Caenorhabditis elegans: one gene and its partners. The protein of the gene in region 1 purifies or fractionates together with the protein of each later gene. This does not show direct contact. Each region holds a gene or a part of one and is shown on either strand. Other genes may lie near its edges. The genes, in order: ttb-1, cyc-2.1, T24H10.1 and rha-1.

What was found.
Region 2: the proteins of ttb-1 (region 1) and cyc-2.1 fractionate together in Caenorhabditis elegans (co-fractionation; one large-scale study listed by BioGRID). This does not show direct contact.
Region 3: the proteins of ttb-1 (region 1) and T24H10.1 fractionate together in Caenorhabditis elegans (co-fractionation; one large-scale study listed by BioGRID). This does not show direct contact.
Region 4: the proteins of ttb-1 (region 1) and rha-1 fractionate together in Caenorhabditis elegans (co-fractionation; one large-scale study listed by BioGRID). This does not show direct contact.

What each region holds. Positions count from the first base shown.
Region 1 is NC_003283.11:155,057-159,876, forward strand, and holds the start of ttb-1 (Transcription initiation factor IIB), read left to right. Parts: upstream 1-1,768; 5' UTR 1,769-1,774; coding exon 1,775-1,881; intron 1,882-1,962; coding exon 1,963-2,230; intron 2,231-4,820.
Region 2 is NC_003282.8:4,747,403-4,750,416, reverse strand, and holds cyc-2.1 (Cytochrome c 2.1), read left to right. Parts: upstream 1-1,967; 5' UTR 1,968-1,975; coding exon 1,976-2,155; intron 2,156-2,206; coding exon 2,207-2,362; 3' UTR 2,363-2,513; downstream 2,514-3,014. Other genes in the region: Y17G9B.5 (Evolutionarily conserved signaling intermediate in Toll pathway, mitochondrial), read right to left, coding at 18-171; rpl-18A (Large ribosomal subunit protein eL20), read left to right, coding at 648-854, 903-1,238; tctn-1 (Tectonic domain-containing protein), read left to right, coding at 2,585-2,765, 2,819-2,922.
Region 3 is NC_003280.10:9,097,400-9,101,089, reverse strand, and holds T24H10.1 (Putative transcription elongation factor S-II), read right to left. Parts: upstream 1,720-3,690; 5' UTR 1,713-1,719; coding exon 1,575-1,712; intron 1,523-1,574; coding exon 1,436-1,522; intron 1,384-1,435; coding exon 1,054-1,383; intron 1,007-1,053; coding exon 635-1,006; 3' UTR 521-634; downstream 1-520. Other genes in the region: clh-5 (Chloride channel protein), read left to right, coding at 2,493-2,592, 2,654-2,843, 2,917-3,055, 3,206-3,690. UniProt on the Caenorhabditis elegans protein: Necessary for efficient RNA polymerase II transcription elongation past template-encoded arresting sites.
Region 4 is NC_003280.10:8,877,959-8,885,349, forward strand, and holds rha-1 (ATP-dependent RNA helicase A), read right to left. Parts: upstream 5,702-7,391; coding exon 5,531-5,701; intron 5,488-5,530; coding exon 5,057-5,487; intron 5,000-5,056; coding exon 4,953-4,999; intron 4,902-4,952; coding exon 4,765-4,901; intron 4,713-4,764; coding exon 4,452-4,712; intron 4,404-4,451; coding exon 3,915-4,403; intron 3,869-3,914; coding exon 3,694-3,868; intron 3,645-3,693; coding exon 3,300-3,644; intron 3,255-3,299; coding exon 3,086-3,254; intron 3,041-3,085; coding exon 2,366-3,040; intron 2,308-2,365; coding exon 1,900-2,307; intron 1,850-1,899; coding exon 1,633-1,849; intron 1,587-1,632; coding exon 1,523-1,586; intron 1,474-1,522; coding exon 1,441-1,473; intron 945-1,440; coding exon 661-944; 3' UTR 538-660; downstream 1-537. Other genes in the region: T07D4.5 (P53 and DNA damage-regulated protein 1), read right to left, coding at 5,853-5,954, 6,000-6,134, 6,180-6,371; ddx-19 (RNA helicase), read left to right, coding at 6,950-7,015, 7,222-7,273, 7,320-7,391.

The DNA of each region.
Region 1 (4,820 bases):
AACGAGTTATGAAAAAACTGTCAACTAGAAAAATGTTCAAAAATATTTTTTTGTTTTTGGTCAGTTGGCATTTTATTAATATCTCTGCAATGAACAAAGTTATACCACTTTCAATAGTTTTTTGTTGTATATTTTATAGTAGCTCATCAGAATAGTATTTCACCACTTGCACTTCCTACTATCTTCTAAATTTCCCGTCACTGCATTGAACTTCTGAGACACCTTTTCCCTCCGATCAACTAGACTACTATTTTCTCTGCGTCTCCAACAATGCCACACTCTCCGCGCAAAAACCGACCTTTGCCCCTTGGGGGTGGGGCTTGCCCCTTCTGTCGACCGACCAACAAACATAGAGAATGAGAAGAGAAAGAAAAAGAGACCCCCCACGTGTGCGGTCTCTATCTGATGGGTTGCACTTGAGAAGGGAAACGTGGTGTTCGTATGGGGATCCTGAGCAGACTACATACAGAATTTATTGCACATGCTACGTGGCAATTTGAGCTCACGGGGCGGCAAAAAGGGATCTATTTAACACCGACAATTTGTGATTTTGCACCAAAAATACGGTTACCGGTCTCGACACGACAAATTGTTGTTAAATGCAAAAAGGTGTGCGCCTTCAAACGGTACTGTACTTTCAAACTTTTTTTGCTGGCTTCTAATGTATTTTTTATAGTGTACTTTTTGACGAATTTATGTAGTTATAAAAAATATATTGTTGTGTTTGAGTTTTTACTAATGAATCAATTAATTTTTGTTGAAAAACTATGAAAATTTACAAAACTTCCGCAGTACTCTTTATAGGCGCAGACCATTCGGCATTTGTCGTGTCGAGACCGGGTACCGTATTTTTGGCGAAATAACGCGATTGAAATCGCAAATTTTGCGTCTGGGTAATATATTTAAATATATTTATATACAATGTTTGTATATAACTATATATAATGCAATACTGCATAATTTTTAAACTCCTAAGGCTAAAAATCCTTCTTCTCCCTTTCCTGGGGCGATGTTTTTGGGGAAGCTTCTTTAAAATTTGCCAAATGAATTAAACTTCAATATTTTCTGTAAAAAAACCGAGAACGGAAGATAATTGGCTTCAAAGTGCCCGGGCATTTTTGGGCATGCCCAAAAATCTCTGTTGCCAATTAACTATTATTTGAACACCCGCGCGCAAAGCGCTTAAAGTTTCCTAGGCCACGCGACCGTGTACTCCTCTCGGACAAACAAACAAATCGAATTTTATACATTTTTTTCTCAATTTTCGGCGATTATTCACGATTTCTCGTTTTTTACATTCTTCAGAAAGTAGTTTAAACCAAATTCTCATGTTTTATCGACGAAAATACAAACTATTCGCCTAAAAATGCCCGTTTTTACAACGCTTGCTGGCCATTTCTCTTTGAACTTTACTTCAAAATAAAACAAAGTCGCTATAAAACTTGTTTTTTCTTCATAAATCCTAAAAAAATCCCGTTTAAATTCCCTCCAATTTTCGCCCTGACACTAAACAGGGCGCGCTAACGACACTCCGTTTCTGGCTATTTAAATTGTGTTTTTTTTTCGAAATGCAAAATGATGTGCGAATTTCGTCGGAAATTTTAGTTTACAGTTCACTATAGTGTAAAAATTGGTCATTAATCGATTTAAAAGACTTTTAAAAAGAAAAAAATGACTAGGATATTGGCAAAAAATCGACTTTTATTCGAATTTCCTTCATTTTCACCGTTAAAAATCCGAATAAACTCGAAAATGTTCAAAATTTCAGCAGAAAATGTCGGCTCCAGTCCAGTGTCCGATCCATCCAGACGTGCATTTGATCGAAGATCACCGTGCCGGGGATCTGGTCTGTCCGGCGTGCGGCTTGGTCGTCGGTGATCGGTGAGCCTTAAAAATATATAATTTCCTGCAAAAAATGATCTTTAAATCATTTTTAAAGCAATTAATTTAACTATTTTTCAGTCTGGTCGACGTCGGAACCGAATGGCGTTCATTTTCCAACGAACGTAGTGGAAATGACCCATCTCGTGTCGGAGCACCGGAAAATCCGCTGCTCAGCGGCGGAGATTTGAGCACAACTATCGCCGTGGGCTTTGGCGGCTCCGACAGTGATAATAGTTTGGCGAATGCTCAAAGAAAGTCAATGAACAATACGGATCGTCAAATGACCGCCGCGATGAGCCTTATTAGGGAAATGAGCGAGAGAATTCACTTGCCAAGAAATATTCAGGTAGAATATTGGATTTTAACTGAAAAATTCGATGAAAAATGTTGGGAAATTCGTCAAAAAACAGATTTATAATCTCAAAGCAAAGGAATCACTTTAAAATTGGAATAGAAACTATAAAAATGACATTCTTCCTGGATTTTTGCTGAAAACACACATGAAATTGTAAAAAATCTCAATTTTGAACGATTTCAGCCGGAAAAAATTAGCGAATTTAGACATTTTTTGAAAGTTTTTCTTTCACTTTTGGACAAAAACAGCTGTTCAACGCTTAAAAAGTTGAATAATTGTCAATGAAACCTGAATTTTCCCGAAAAAAAAAAATTTAATATCAAAGTTTTAGTTTTTTCCGTAAAAACTCAAAGAAAGTTGTGAAAAAACTTAATTTCAACCTGAATATTTGTAAAAAAGCAACGTTTCTATGTCATTCATCGATTTTTCGAAAAAAAAAGTGGAAAATGAAGGTATCCACCTTTTTTTCCAATAATTTTCCATATGAATAACGTCTTCACAAGGAAAGTTTTGGGTAAAATCTCAAATTTGGAAGATTTTACTCTGTAAAATCAGAAAATTCTTTTAAATTATTGTTTTTTAATTGAAAATTCAAGATTTTCACCCATTTTCTTAATGATGCCGGCATTTTTCATGCAATTTTCTGATTTTTTTCACCTATTTTCAGTGACTAGCGCACGACGTGCGCTATGCCTTCGGGAGTGGGGATAGGGTTAGTTCGCTCTAACGTATCAGCAAGGTAGCTGGCGTAGGTTCTCGGCTTCGCCTCAAACCTGTGTTGGGGTTAAGTGTGTTCACCTTGAAATTAATAAAATATTCTAAGGATTTGTTTCTTTTTTACATTTTAAGAATTATTTTGCGGCTCCGGCGCTGAGTTTTCAGTTTCTCTAAGATTGAAGAAACATTCTAATGTAAGGAGTTGTTTCACATTGAAATATTCTTAAAAATTATTTAGCGCCAGCGGCGCTGAGTTGAATTTTCTCTAAGATTAGAAAAATATTCTAAGCAGTTGTTTCAAATTCAAAAATTCTTAAGAGTTATCAGCGCCTTCGGCGCTGGATTTTCAAAGTTTTTTGAAAGAAAGAAACATACTAAAAAGTTGTTTCTAATTTAACACTTTGAAGTCTTATTTAGCGCCTTCGGCGCTGATTTGAACTTTTACTAAGATTGATGAAATATGCTGAAAAGATTTTTCACTTTTAAAAAGAAAATGTAAAAACATAAAAGATATTTCGAAAACTTAGGTGAGGATATGAAATGGTAGTTTTTTTTCAAAACTTTTTCATTTTTAAAGCTGGACAACATTTCCCCTAAAATTTTTTTGAATCTTACATTTTTCGAATTCAGTGTCAAATTCTGAGTCTATTCAAAAAAACAGAATTAAAATTAATCTTAAACAAACCAATTAACAAACGCTCAAAGTTGAAAAATCAAAAATCAAAAAAGGCATTAACTTTCTTCTGGGTCGATTATCTCTGTGATGTATGACTCGATTTTCAAAATTTTTTTGTCACTCGCTTAAGAAATCTTCAAGGTTTTATATATTTTGCTCAGAATCAGAATAGCTCAAACGACTGCAAAGTTCTGAGAGGGGGAAAAAAGTTTTTGGACAAAAAACTACCGTTTACTACCTACAGTACCCCTACAGTACACCTACCGTTTACCACCTACAGTACACCTACCGTTTACCACCTACAGTACACCTACAGTACACCTATTTTTACCACCTACAGTACCCCTACAGTACCTTAGCATCAACTCCTAACCGAATACCTCTTCAAAAAAAAAATTAAAAAAAAAATAACACTCGGTGGGGGTCGAACCAATGCAACGCTGCTAACATTATTTTTTCCTATTATGTTTAAAATGTTTTGCAAAATTCGCAAATTTTGAACTTTTTCATATGTTTCCAGGTAGATATTTGATAAACTGTTTTAAAAAACGAAATCTACGTACAAATTCACATATTGATGTCAAAAACCTAACAAAAATGTTGAGGTTAAACATGTTTTCCATACACTTTTCAAAATGTAGAGATATTTCAGCTGTAAATTTCAAATTACTATAACTTTGCTCACAGTCAATCAAATTGCAGAAACTAAAATTTTTTAACAATCCCAGACATACACCAATTGTTTCAAATAAATTTTGTACCATCACCTTCAACACTGTGCAAAAAAAGCGACATGACACGCGAAAAACGCCTTTTTTTGGTGTTTTACTTAACTTTTCTCTTAAAAGACATGAACCAATTACATAACCATTTAGATAATAAGATAGAAAAAATATTTTTACATATTCTGAAAAAAAGAAAATCAAAAAATATCCAGTAACAGCAAAGTTAGAGACAAAAGTGTGTGCTCAGTTTTCGGACGGTGGTTTTGCGACACGCAAAACGGGAAATCACGCAAGTTCCGAATTTAATATAGGAAGAAGGCAGAAAATTCAGAATTTTATAGCCCAAATTCAGTATTAAATGTTGGAAAAAACCAATTTTTTTCAATTTAAAAAAAAAAATCTACATTTTTAATTATGTCCTGTTTGATTGTTTCAATTAAAACAAATTAATTAAAAATGCGAA
Region 2 (3,014 bases), on another chromosome or scaffold:
TAGACAGATATCCAAACCTATCGCTGCCATGAATGCATCTTTATCTCTTTTCTCCGGTTCTATAGCTTCGAATTGCTTTTCAACATGTACTAAACTCGTCTCTTGATTCGCTGCAGCAAAGCATCGTATTTGATTGCTGATAACCCGTCGTGAAACATGTGCAAGAGCCATTAAAGTCTGAATATGTACAAATAAATTAATATTATAACTTTATAGTTAAAATAAAACATTTAAAATCACATTTCTATATCTTTTTAACAAAAAAATTGCTTAAAAATCTAAGGAGTAAGTGCGCTCCACCGCTCCCCGTAAATCGACGGCGAGTGTATGAAGGATACGGTAATAGAACACGCAACAAAACTAGCACTGCCGCATACACTTTTGTGCGTTGAAATTCATTTTGGGTTTTCCTGATCCTATTTTTTAGCTTTTTTCCGCTTTTCTTTTTCTGATTTTTACAAAAATTTAACAGTTTTTTCATAGTTTTTAAATATTGCAATATGCACTCATATTTTTTCGGTAATTCCCATCTACCTTTCCATTTTAAAAGAAAATTGTAACGTTATCCTAAAATTGTTTTTCGCTATTATATCAGATTGTTCATTCCCCATTCCTTGCATCATATTTTTGTTTTTCAGGGTTAAAACATGCCAACCAAGGCTCTTGGAGAGACTCTTAATGAGTACGTCGTCGTCGGACGCAAAATCCCAACAGAGAAGGAGCCAGTGACTCCAATCTGGAAGATGCAAATCTTCGCCACCAACCACGTCATCGCCAAGTCTCGTTTCTGGTACTTCGTCTCTATGCTCCGTCGTGTGAAGAAGGCCAACGGAGAGATCCTTTCGATCAAGCAGGTTTGTGGAAAATAATAATAATAACCCATTTTACAATAAAATTTTCAGGTGTTCGAGAAGAACCCAGGAACCGTCAAGAACTACGGAGTCTGGCTCAAGTACGATTCCCGTACCGGACACCACAACATGTACCGTGAGTACCGTGACACCACCGTTGCCGGAGCCGTCACCCAGTGCTACCGTGACATGGGAGCTCGTCATCGTGCCCAAGCTGACCGCATCCACATCCTCAAGGTCCAAACCGTCAAGGCCGAAGACACCAAGCGTGCCGGAATCAAGATGTTCCACGACGCCAAGATCAGATTCCCACTCCCACATCGCGTCACCAAGAGAAAGAACCTCAGCGTCTTCACAACCGCTCGCCAAAACACCCACTTCGCCTAAGTTGCGGATTATTGTTATTTGTTACAATAAATTGTTGCAAACAAATTTTTTTCTTAATTTTTCATTTTAAATTTGTGTGGTTTGAATCCTGTTTGTTCAGCTTGTTATTTGTTTACTGTTTTTATCTCGTGCGCAGCACTTGTTGATGTTATTAGATGATCATTGCAATGATCCATAAGGCATCGGACCGCCCAGCTGACTTGTGTGACTGGTAAATTTTGTCAATATTTTCAAATTTGTTCTTTTGCAATATAGATATCTGCTCTTCTATATTCAGTTCTTACGCTACTAGATCTGTAACTACATTCCTTAAAGTTCAATATCACTATTTCGATAAGGTAAATTAATTCTTAATAATTGAGATAAGTTGATAAAAATCTGGATAACTGTAGATTTTGTAAGTTGTAAGCGTTAGAAATGCGGTAAATCTCGTAGAAACTTTATTTTTTGTATTTTAAGGGCAAAACCTTTCAGATCATAGATAAAAAGTTCAACAGCGTCATTTTAGTATGTCCTCGCTGAATGATATTTCACCCAGACTCCCGAGAGCGACCGCCCGATTGTTCTATGGCCTTTCTGTGTCTCTGCGTCTCCTCGCCGCCCGAGAGATGGCACAACCCCCGTTTCTTTCTCGCTATTGCATCACGGGCGGTTCCCCAAGTGCTGCTGTGGCGGTTTCTTCCTGCTAGACTCTTTTAGTATATATTTCACTAATTTCTGTATTTTAAGGGTTCAACATGTCCGATATCCCAGCTGGAGATTACGAAAAGGGAAAGAAGGTGTACAAGCAGAGATGCTTGCAGTGCCACGTCGTTGACTCGACCGCCACAAAGACCGGACCAACCCTCCACGGAGTTATCGGACGTACATCAGGAACTGTGTCTGGATTCGACTATTCCGCTGCTAACAAGAACAAGGTACAACTAATAAATTATTTCTTAACGTTTATTATAAATTAAAAATTATAGGGAGTCGTCTGGACCCGCGAGACCCTCTTCGAGTACCTCCTCAACCCAAAGAAGTACATCCCAGGAACCAAGATGGTGTTCGCTGGACTCAAGAAGGCTGACGAGCGTGCAGATCTCATCAAGTACATCGAGGTTGAATCCGCCAAGTCCCTCTAAATATTCCCCTAAATGTTCTCGCCTAGCTACGGCAATTTTTCATAGTTAGGCACTTTCGATTGTTTTACTTTTATATATTGCACTAATTTTGTGTCATTCTCATTTTTAGTAGCAAGAATATACGTCAATTTGGAAAATAAATAATTTTCCTAAATTCGTTTTCCTTTTCCCCACAGTCGCATCACAGCAGGTGTACACTCTTCCGCTACCATAGCAACCAAAATGGGCACCAATGCACCAAGAAATCGGAACGAGCTTTTTGTCATGCATCTTCTTGGATTTATTTTTCTTTTAACTTATTGTTCGGCTGATACTCCAGAGGTTTGTTATCCGTCAGTTGTTCGGCACCGGATTGATTCGATATTTCCAACTTCTCGTTTGTTCTGCGTCTCCAAGCAAAATGGTGGGCTTTTTTTAGCTGAACGCGAACAAATTACGGAGCTTTTTTGAATTTAGATGATTTGGAATATGGTGACGTGGAAATTGTGAATGGCGAAGAGCAATGGAACGAATTTTCAAAATCTAGATGGCAGCAAGATGAATCTGATTCACAAGAAAATGTAACACAATTAAAGATCTACGCAGACGGAAAATTTTGCGCCAGAAATACTGTACCTGGTCTCGACACGCTTTTGTTTGTAAAACGCGAAAA
Region 3 (3,690 bases), on another chromosome or scaffold:
AATAAAAACCACCTTTCAGATCGTTTCTTTCCATTCACATTTTCCATTACACCAACGTGACTCCACCTCACCATCAAATTTTAAAAGTGCACAAATTGGCTTCTGGCGTCTACTTACCAAAATAAAGAAGATATTTAGCTTTGATAGAAGAAGAGAATTTAGAGAAAGAAAAGAAAGGATGTATTAATTTCTCCCCTTAAAACCAAACCACGTTTACTTACACGCGGTTATTAAGGTCGACACGTTTAGTTTTATCCTTTTTATTTGATAATGCACCGCTACCGTATCAATTACCAATATTCTTTTCGTCCTGCTATTTCCATCATGTTAAACAGCTCATTTATCAGCTCGCTGAAACAGCTCTCGTAGTAACTATTGGCATTATCGAAAGTGAAAAATATTTTATATGCAATACAAGTTTATATAAAATCAACAAACAAATTTACCACTTTTCAGTGGATATGGGGGGGGGGGGGTGGAGGAGAGTGAAGATTAACAAATAAATTATCAGTTAATTATTACACAAGCCAGAAAACTTATAACAATCATATTTGAGTATCCGTGGAAGAGTGTGTATGGGGTATCTGGCAAAACTACCACGTGAAGACAATTTAGAAGAAAGAATCTCAAAAAATCAGCAAAACTTCCAGCGATTTCCGCACTCGAGACAGAAGACAAATGTTGTCATCGGTTCGTCGGAAGAACGAGTTTGAAGCTGAGTATAGGTGCAATTCTTCTTTCCACATTTTCCGCACTTGAACATGTCTGATGGAGTTCCTTGCTGGACGCTCATTTGATGTTCTAGGATAGCTTCCTTCGTGAATTTATCACGCATCTCCCGGATTTCAGCGGATGCCATTTCTTCGCTGGTCATGGTTGCAAACTTTTCAGCACGGACGACACCAGTGAGAACATTTTCACGTAGAGCAAGGTTCTTTTTATCACGAAGATTGAAAATGCGACTACGAACAGCTGCTGAGTAACTCTTGTTTGTATCACGGTGAACCTATAATCAAAAAGTTAAAAATGTTTCACTTTCAGGATAAACCATACCGAATAGAGTTTCTCTTCAATTTGGACAGCTAACTCCTCTGGATCGAGTGTTCCTTGTGGCATGTCTCCAAACCGAAGTGCCGAAAGTAGAAGTTGTGCAGATTTAAGACGGGTCTCGTCATTTTCAAGATGTTTCGGTGGGAAAGATGCACTGGCAAATTGAGCAACTATTTCTGGCCGACTAGATGGTTCTGGCCGCTTATATGGAGCCTCGATCTTCTTTTTCTCTGGTTTTGCCTCTTCAACACTTTCCTTTCTGTGCTTCTTCGCAGGTGGAGCACCACCATCATCCTGTGACTTGCTCTTTCCATCAACTACATTCTTCCAATCCTAGAAAAAAAATAATTGGAAGTAGCTACATTTCATTTATGAAAAAAAGTACCTTAATGATGTTCTTAGCCCGCTTTGCAACAGCATCATCTGTGACTTTTTTCCGCATCATATTCACTTTTATTCCAATGTTGGTTTTCTGGAAAACAATTTTATTATTACTTGATGGACAAAATTAAAGTAGAACTCACCTGGATTATTTCGATGCTCATTGGAATTTTCGACAACTGGTCGAGCAGCTTATTGCATTGTTCGACGGATTCCATTCCATTATTGCAAATATCGTCAACTTGCTTGCACAACGATTGTGTTTCCTCGAGAGCGGACATAGCTGCTGCAAGACAAAAGGTAAAGAATGACGGAGAGTATTAATTATGTAGTGGATTATAAAGAGAGAAAAGATGTGGACGCGCAAAAAACACAAATATCTGTGAATATTGACTGAAAACGAAATTGGTACATTTGAAGAAACGCGTCAATAATCCGAATAACGCGTCAGCAAAGGCACCTGGCGCATTTCTCGTGCGCCTCTCCTGACCTGTCTCGGATTCTGGGAAAGTTACGATGATTTGGCGATTTTCAGAAAGATTCTTCTCTTTTTATTCTCAATATGCTCAAAAATAATGTTATTCATGATATAATTCATCTGTTAGTTTCAAATATAATAATCCCTTAGATTTTGGAGCTCGTAAAATATCACGGCACTAACATTGTGTCCAGTCGAACTGAATGTTGACATTTATTAGTTAAGTATTTGAGATTTCATGCTATGTTTATAGTCAACAGCCTGAATTATCAGTCAGTTAAAGTTACAATCATTGATCAATTTTCTCTTTTTTTTTTAATTTTCAGTTAACTTTTTGGCCATCTCCATTTATCGCATCTCCATTTAAAATCATAATTAATATTTCTATGAGATTATATTAATCCCATATTGATTCTTGGGACTTTTTTAGTTGCAGAATGTGAAATTCCCATTTTATTCATTTGACTCCAGCTACCCTTCTGTGCGGTATCAAAATAGCTCTTGATGTTAAACCACAAATTTTTGTTTTCAAATATTTCCTTTTCTATCTTAACAAATAATTGTTCTTTTATTCCAGCCGAAAATGGAACGAGCAGGTCGGTCGTCGACCCTTGGTTCAACAGATGATGTCGAGTTGGAACCAAGTGGAACTTCTGCTACAATACACCTTGATATGACTGCAGGTGATCGAAACAATATCAATTTTCCCATAGAAAATTTTCTTAACGAACACTTTTCATTCAGGTGGCGGCAGCTCTTCAAGTGATTTTAACCCATTTGGTGCTATTGATGACGTCAGATTCAAAACAGACGACGATCTTCCAGACGTCATGGCTCCGCCGTTTTTCAGTAAATATGGAGATTTTCATACAATTGATTGGCAAAGAGATTTAGCCAGAGATCGGTTACGGCATAAAATGATATCTAAGAAAAAGTTAGTTGGGTTCCCCCATTAAAATAATGCAAAGCTAAATGAATTTATGACCTGCAACAAATAATATTTTCAGAGTGGATTTCCCCCTTGGGCTTCTACAATCGGGATGGGATGCCGGAGCAGGATGGATATGCGTTCTTTTTGTTGGACTGGCTGCTGGTGCAACTGCTGGAATCATCGATATTGGAGCTCGATGGATGAGTGATCTAAAGGTTATTTATTTATCTGAAGTGAAAATCTAAATTCAATTTTTGAGCTATGAACAAGCTTCAAATTGATTTTAACATGTATAAATTTTTTTTTAATTTTTGGTATAAAAACTGTTTTCAAAAATCCATCCAAGTGTCAAATTAAAATTTCAGACAGGAGTGTGTGCGGATCGTTTCTGGTTGGATCACGAACACTGTTGTTGGTCATCAAATGATACATTTTATAAGGATGATGATTGTAAAGCATGGACGAAATGGCCATGGATGCTGAATTACTACAACTCATCCAGTTTTCTCTTCTTATTTCTCGAATGGATATTTTATATTGGATGGGCTGTTGCAATGTCGACTCTTGCCGTTCTTTTCGTTAAAATATTCGCTCCCTACGCCTGTGGATCTGGAATTCCAGAAATCAAATGCATTTTATCTGGATTCGTGATTCGTGGATATCTTGGAAAATGGACATTTATCATCAAATCTGTAGGACTTATTCTATCGTCAGCTTCTGGTTTGTCTCTTGGAAAAGAAGGTCCAATGGTCCACTTGGCTTGTTGCATTGGAAATATTTTCTCATATTTATTCCCTAAATATGGTCTTAATGAAGCAAAAAAACGTGAAATTCTGTCAGCATCTGCTGC
Region 4 (7,391 bases), on another chromosome or scaffold:
TTATCGTTTTTTCAAATCAAAACACGTAAAATATCAACGCAGTAACATATCTGAATACGGAATTCTTAGTAAAAGTAATGTAAAACAGTATTTCCTCTCATTTGGCAAAAATTATTTTTCACATTTAACTCAAAATTTGCCATGTCGAGACGGACAACGTACTTTTTGCGAGAAAATCGAGTTTTATGTGCCAGAAACAAGATAGTAAAACTCATCGGATTCTAGAATTTCAAGTATTAATTAATCTATTGAATGAGTTTCCAAAGTTTCCGATCCCATGGTCTGAAAACAGCTGCCTTGGTACCTGGTGTCAAACTAATCACCGTTTCCCTAATGGGGTTATTCAAGTAATGTAGCAAAATGCATTTAAATACATTTGTGACGTCACAAATGTATTAAAATACATGTTTTTATATACTTGAATACAGTTGTGACGTAATTTTTCTACACTTTTTAATTTTCCGACACTACTTGAATAACCCCATAATAGAACAAAATATCAGTATCTAATGAATTATGTGTTTTTTGAATACGAATAACAACCAAAACTTTTATTATAAAAAAGAATAAAACCAAAACGACACTTTGATAAGTGTGACAAGATGAGATCGATTTCCTTATACGATCATAAGTTATAACAACAACAGGCATATATTTGATCTACCAGTTCGATGCATTCCATCCTCTGCCACCACCGCCACGGCCACCACCTCTTCCACCACGACCACCTCGGTAACCGCCGCCGCCGCCAGCTCCTCGATATCCGCTTCCAACATTGCCGTAATTGCCACGTCCGGCGTTCCAATCGCCACTGGCGCCGTAACCTGAGTTGTTGAAATTCTGATAGCCCATTCCGGAATTGGGAGGAGCATAGGGACGATTTTGAGCATATGGATGATTTCCGCGTCTGTTACCGCGGTAAGGGTGCACTTTGCCCCCAGCAGCTGAATTGATTGTATGTTTAATGTGGAAACCGCACATGCAAAAGCATTGTTATGTGAACGGGACAAAAGCGGATCAGCATTTGTGCACATTTAATAATTTAGGGGGTTCAGTTAGTTTTAATTCAAAAAAAAGTTTAATTTTTTCTCTATTTTTAATTATTAAAAAAAAAGTTTTTCGTTAATTATTGTATGGATTTTTACTGAAAAAAAGTTACAAAAAAATCAGATTTTTTATTATAATTTTTGAGAAAAAGATATTTTCCTGGGATATTTCGTGAGAATCATATAAACCCTAATGTTTTTAATTATTAAAAAAAAAACAAAATTCGATGAAAGTTTCAATGTTTAAACATCAAAATTCGTGAAAACATTTTTCTAATTTTTGAACTAATTATCACTATTAAAATAATCTCAATCCAGTGATTTCAAATAATTGTTGTTCAAAAAATGGGTAGGACAAGTGGAGAAACAAAAAGCGAACCCCGTGTACAATTACCTGGTGGAAAATCTTGATTTTGGAATGATGAATCTGAAAATTTCTTAATATTTAAATTGAATAATCAAAATTAAAATCTCACTGTTGTTCGACGGTCCCCAATCAGCATATTCAAGACGATTTGGAGCAGGGCCTTTCTGGATTAACTGAAATTTTTTTATTAAGTCTACGGGTTTTACAATAAATTTTTACCGCATTATCTGTAAGTAGACTGTCTTTGATAGGTCCAGCTTCGGACATGAATTCTTCGGAAGATATGTCACGAAGAAGTTGACGAAGTTCAGCATCTGATGGGTTGAGGCCAGCCAGAGATTCTGGATTTTCACAAGATTTGACGAGAAGAGCTTCGATGCATGGACGAAGACCGATGAGAGCAGCTGCGGTAGAAACGTTCATTCGAATTGTAATACTAGAAAAAAATATTGTGATATTATTTTCAAAATGAATTCAAAAACGTACGTCTCATCAATGCGAACAAGTCCTTCTCCGACACATTCAACTTTTCGACTTCCAAAAACTAACAATTGTATTGCACTGATCACTGACATTTGTTTACATGAGATGCATCTGGTACGAACTTTTTCAGTGAAAACGAGCAGAGGACTTGGGAAATCCATTTCTTGGCGATTATTCATCGGAACAAGCATAGAATACTTGTTGATTAGTGCACTCGATTGCTCTATCGTTAATACTTTCCGTTTTCCAACGTAGTACGCCACATTTGGATAAAGAGCCATGACAAGAAGAGAACGCATCAGATTAAGTTCACGATCTGGTCCATTGACGTTAACAGAGATATCAAACAAAATGTCTTCAGGGAAACTGCATTGATTTCGAAGTACATCAATCAACTGTCTACGTGCTCCACTGAAAAAAATGAATTTAGTTTTTTTTTTAATTCTAGGAGAATTTATAAACAACTTACTCAGTCATTTTGAGCACAGGATTACTCAGCGAGTATCGCTCACAGAATTCGCGCTCAGCAGCAGATGCACCCATTTGAACGGCTTCACGATATCCTTGAATCACAGAGACAATTGCAACATGATCAGAAAACTTGTTTCCAGCAAACTTTCGCTGTGTACCACTCAATCGGCTGTGATGCTTCTCTCGTGGAACGAATGGAGTTGGAAATGACATTGCAGATGCCACGTCACACATCACAGATCCTGCACCAAGAGCAGTTCCAAGAATAAGCACTTTGGCAATGACAGGCTCAATTGGCATACGAGCGAGCATTTTTCCGAGACTTGTCAATTCTAAATTACGATCAAGAGCTCCCATCGCTTGTAACACTGCTTCACTTTCGACGACCATATCATACGGTGGAGGTTGAAGAGCCTTTCCAAGGAATTCACCGACGGATCCGAGACGGAGAAGTTTGATTGTCAAAGCGATTTGATGAAGAGGAATCCGAAGCATTTCAGCAGTTCCGTGATCATCCAGTGCTTCAAATCTCATCTTACTGCATAAATGAAAAGCGTATCCAGCTCTAACACGACCAGCGCGCCCTCTTCTTTGAATTACATTTGTCTTTGATGCCCAGACAGTTGCGAAATGAACCATATTGTTGTTCGATGTATACATTCGTTCCTTTGCTCTAAAAAAAAGAAAGATTTCGGTGATCTTTTTTAAAAATACTTACTTGCAAGAGTCAATCACATAGACTACGTCATCAATTGTAATACTTGTTTCAGCGATATTTGTTGAAACAATGATCTTCCGCTTTCCTGGGTAGTGATTGAACACTTTTCTCTGTTCCTGACTAGTTAATTGAGAATGAAGTGGAAGAATTTCATATTTATTAGCTTGGCCTGGAAATTAATAATTTTGATTGAAGTTTTAATTTGTAAATTTACCAAATTCTTGGTGCTCTAAAAGTCGATTGCAAAGTGTCATAATTTCTGCCCAACCGGGAAGAAAAACTAAAACGGCGCCATCCACTCCGCGGGATGCAATATCGTTCAAAATAGCTTCGATCACACCGAATGGAATATCTTTTTCAGAGATTCTTGACATTGCTGTTTTCAGTGATTCGTTGATTGATGGATCTGTTAGAATATTCATGTTTCGACCCTTATCATCCACTTCTTCATCTCCTTCATCATCATCTGGTGGAGGTGGTCCTCCCTTTTTCCGTTTCTTTTGATCTGGTTCCTCAGGCATATGCTGAAGATTGTGAAGAATGTCTTCCAGGTAGAATGCTGAAATTTTAAATTAATTTAAATATAACTATTTTTATCCAGAACTTACATTGTACAGGAAAAGTTCTTCCATGCATCGTGATAACTGGTGTCGGGCCAACATCTGGGATAGAGCTGAAGAAATTGGTAAACAAATCAGTGTCGATGGTGGCAGACATGAGTACCACACGTAGATCTCGGTATGTGCTAATCATTTCGCGGAGCACAATAAGAACAAAGTCAGTCTGAAAAAAAAAGATTTTTAATTTGATGTGCAGTTTCAACACTCACGTCAACATCCCGTTCGTGAATTTCATCGATGATTACATGTGAAATTCCTCGTAATCCGTTCTCCATCATTCGCAGCAAGACTCCAACAGTACAAAACATGATAGATCCATATGGCCGAGGAGTTGCACTATCGAATCGAACATTATATCCGCATGTTTCTCCAACTTCTTCTCCTCGCTCGTTGGCGACACGTTCGGCCAGTGAAATTGCAGAAATACGACGAGGTTGAGAGACGACTGCATTGAAAGATGCTCCATTAGAATTTTCCAAAAAACTTTCCAGTAGAAATTGAGCAACTTGAGTACTCTTTCCACATCCAGTTTCTCCTTTGATCAGTGTAACACGATTTTCTGCGACGGTTTGTACAATGTTTTCACGATACTGGGCGACAGGGAGTTCTCCACGTTGAGCTGTTATTTTGTCAAGTGCTTCACCTCGCTTGAAATCCTCTTTTTCCATTATTCTCTGACTAATTTGCTCCATTGACATCTGAATTTAATTTAATTTTAAATTATTCGCTTGAATCAAAAAACTTACAAAAGCTAATGGTTCCTCATCGATATTCGAAGCTCTCCATGGATTCCAATTCTGAAGAGGAGGTGCCCAGGAGATATTCGAAGCGGAACAAATTTCTGAAACAGGGAACTGCGCTAGTTTAACATCCGTGAGCAGTGAGGTAGGAGCTTCCGGAGTTGCACTCGTTTCGTTGATTTCTGGCAACTCAAGACCGCACGACCGAACATATTCTGTCACTCGAGTTGAGAGATCTTCTGGAATGGAAATCGCAATTTCAGGAAGCTGAAAATTAATATAATAAACTTCAAAACAACTTAAACTCAGAAAAACTAACCGTGCTGACTTTACTCTTCTTGATTGGTCCACTGTACGATTGCATAATATTGAGATGGAACATCTGACGAACGATATTCATTGCACACGCCGCTTCAGAAACTTTCTTGTTAGATCCAGTACCTTTTCCAACGAGATCTGTAAACATTTTCATTTTTTATTTGGATAAAAGACGATAAAAGAACGCACTTTTGTTGATTTGAGGAACAAAGATTTGGGCAGTCGTCTCCATTGTTCTGTAAATATTTTGGTATGAAAAAAATGAAGTAATTCTTCTAATATGAAAAACTTACTTAACGGTGTTTGATTCTCGAATTTTGGTTCCATAGTTAACCTGTGGAAGTCTCATTTTTTGAAGAAACTCATTCAGCGCTTTCTTTGAATTCTCCATCGTCCATCCTCCATGAATTTCTGATTTTAGATCAACAGTTTCCGATGCAGCAATTTCTTCTGCTTTCTGTGTAATATATTGTTCATGTGTGCCCTCGTTACGTTGATATGCATTGTTACTCCAAGGAAATCTTTTTTGTGGAATTGGTTGCTGTGACTCTTGGAACGAGTTGCCATCTTCTCCACCACAAAACATTGTAGCAGTTTCAGAATCTTGCCACGTGGAAGAAGCTTCAAGACTCGAAGACGTTAGAGTCGGAATATCACTCTGTTGCATTTTTCCTTCTCTGACTAGGTATTGGCAGAAATCTTGAGCAGCATTGGTAGCAGCATCCTGAAAACTTTTGATAAAAACTGATTTCCCAAGTAGCACGAACCTTTTTGTTTGTGGAATTTCCGAAAGCAGTGTAGCCAAATCCTGTGATCCGAAGTTCGCATTTGAATCTCTGCCTACCACTCCTGGTTTCACTTTTTGTATCGTACGTCGGATTTCCATACTTATTCTTTCCTAACCAAGCATATAGAAATTCTTTGACGTCTCTGGACATCTAAAAATAATATTTAACAAGATTTAAAAAGTCGCGAATAGTTCAAATAAAGAGACGAGAAATTAAACTCGGATATACAAGAACAGGATAACAATACAAATTTAAGTATTTTAATATCAATTCATTGACCCGTATTCAGATATTTCATAATTTAATCAGTTAATTTTCCGTCTTTGAGCAATGGCTTTAAACCGAAACCACGTTCTTCTAGATTTCGCTTCTTGTGTAGTTTGAGAAATGTGTCCATGTCTTTCTGTAAAAAAACAATTCAATTATCGAATTAATATTTTTATTTTACCTTGATAACTTCTTGAATCTGTCCACGAACTTCTTCGACAGTTTTCGTATCTTTCTCCAAAATATTCAAACTATTTGCTTGGCTTGTTTGAAGGAAGCACGTTCCATTGTATATCCAAACTGGATCAATATCCTTCTGAAAATAAGTTATTCAGTTTGCATTATTGTTTTACAGACAAACCTCTTTGATTTTTCGGCTAACTTCTCGAAACTTCTGACGTTCATTATCCAGATTCACACATGTTTCTTTGGCGTGATTTAATTTCGTTGAAAGGTAAATTATCTCTGAAGTTTTGTCGCGTAACTCTTTTTGATGGTCATGCGGTGTTTTTGCGTTGTTCAAAGCCATTCCAGTAGACAGGTGAGTGATCATTTTCTTTAAAAAATAACAATTAGCAAGAATATCATGATACTTGCAAGTTAAAAATCCTAAATTTAAATATTAAGATATGTTTGTCGTATGATCTGGTGCATTGTGTGCATTACTGTGTACGGTGTACTGTCAACCGTACCCATTTTCGAAATTGCTCATCTCAATTTCAGATGTTTTTATTGGCGTCGATCCTAATTTTTTGTTTGTTTATTCTATTTATCTTTCATGTGTGCGTCATTTTTATAACTTCAAATGTTTAAAATACATTTTAAAGTTAAATTTCATATATTTTGTGGAAAAATGCCCTAAAAAGAAGATAGATTTTGTACTTCCCTGACCAAACAATGTGTTTACATGCATTATCAATGGCAAAATAGAGAAAACACTTCTAGAATAACTATTTCCTACCCTGTCGATGAACCAAAGAACTATCTTCTTTCTGCAATCTCTCCCTTCTCGGGTTCATGTGTCGACCCAAATTTCGCCTCAACATGTTTTCTTTTCAATTTCGTGTTCCGATCTTTAATTTGTCCTGAATACTAACAATGAATTATCGTAGTTCTCATAACAGATCGAAAATGGCTGATTGGGGTATTGCATTCGACGAGCAGTGTCGATCGGAAGGGCTTGAAGTGCCAGAAAAGGTGGTCGGATTTGTTAATGTCTATGTGTGTTCGTGATTGTTTGTCTGTTTGTCCGTCCGTGTTCCGAGAGTTTCGGCTCTTTTCTCTTGCACTGTACAATTGCTTTTTGCTTCTACCTCGCACAATTTTCATGCTTCTTCCCTGTATGTGTGCGTGGAAACCGAGTGCATTTTTTCAGCGGAACGGAATATATTAATTTCTTTCAGACCGAAAAGGTGCAATCAGGCTCGGAAATGGATCAAAATGAAGAGAATAAAGGTAAGATTCATCGGAGAAACTTCTTTCCTAACAGTTATTTTTACAGGATCAAATGGATGGGGAATTAGCCGAGGAGGCATGTTCGGCGGACCAAAAGCCAGTAATGCTCCACCACCTC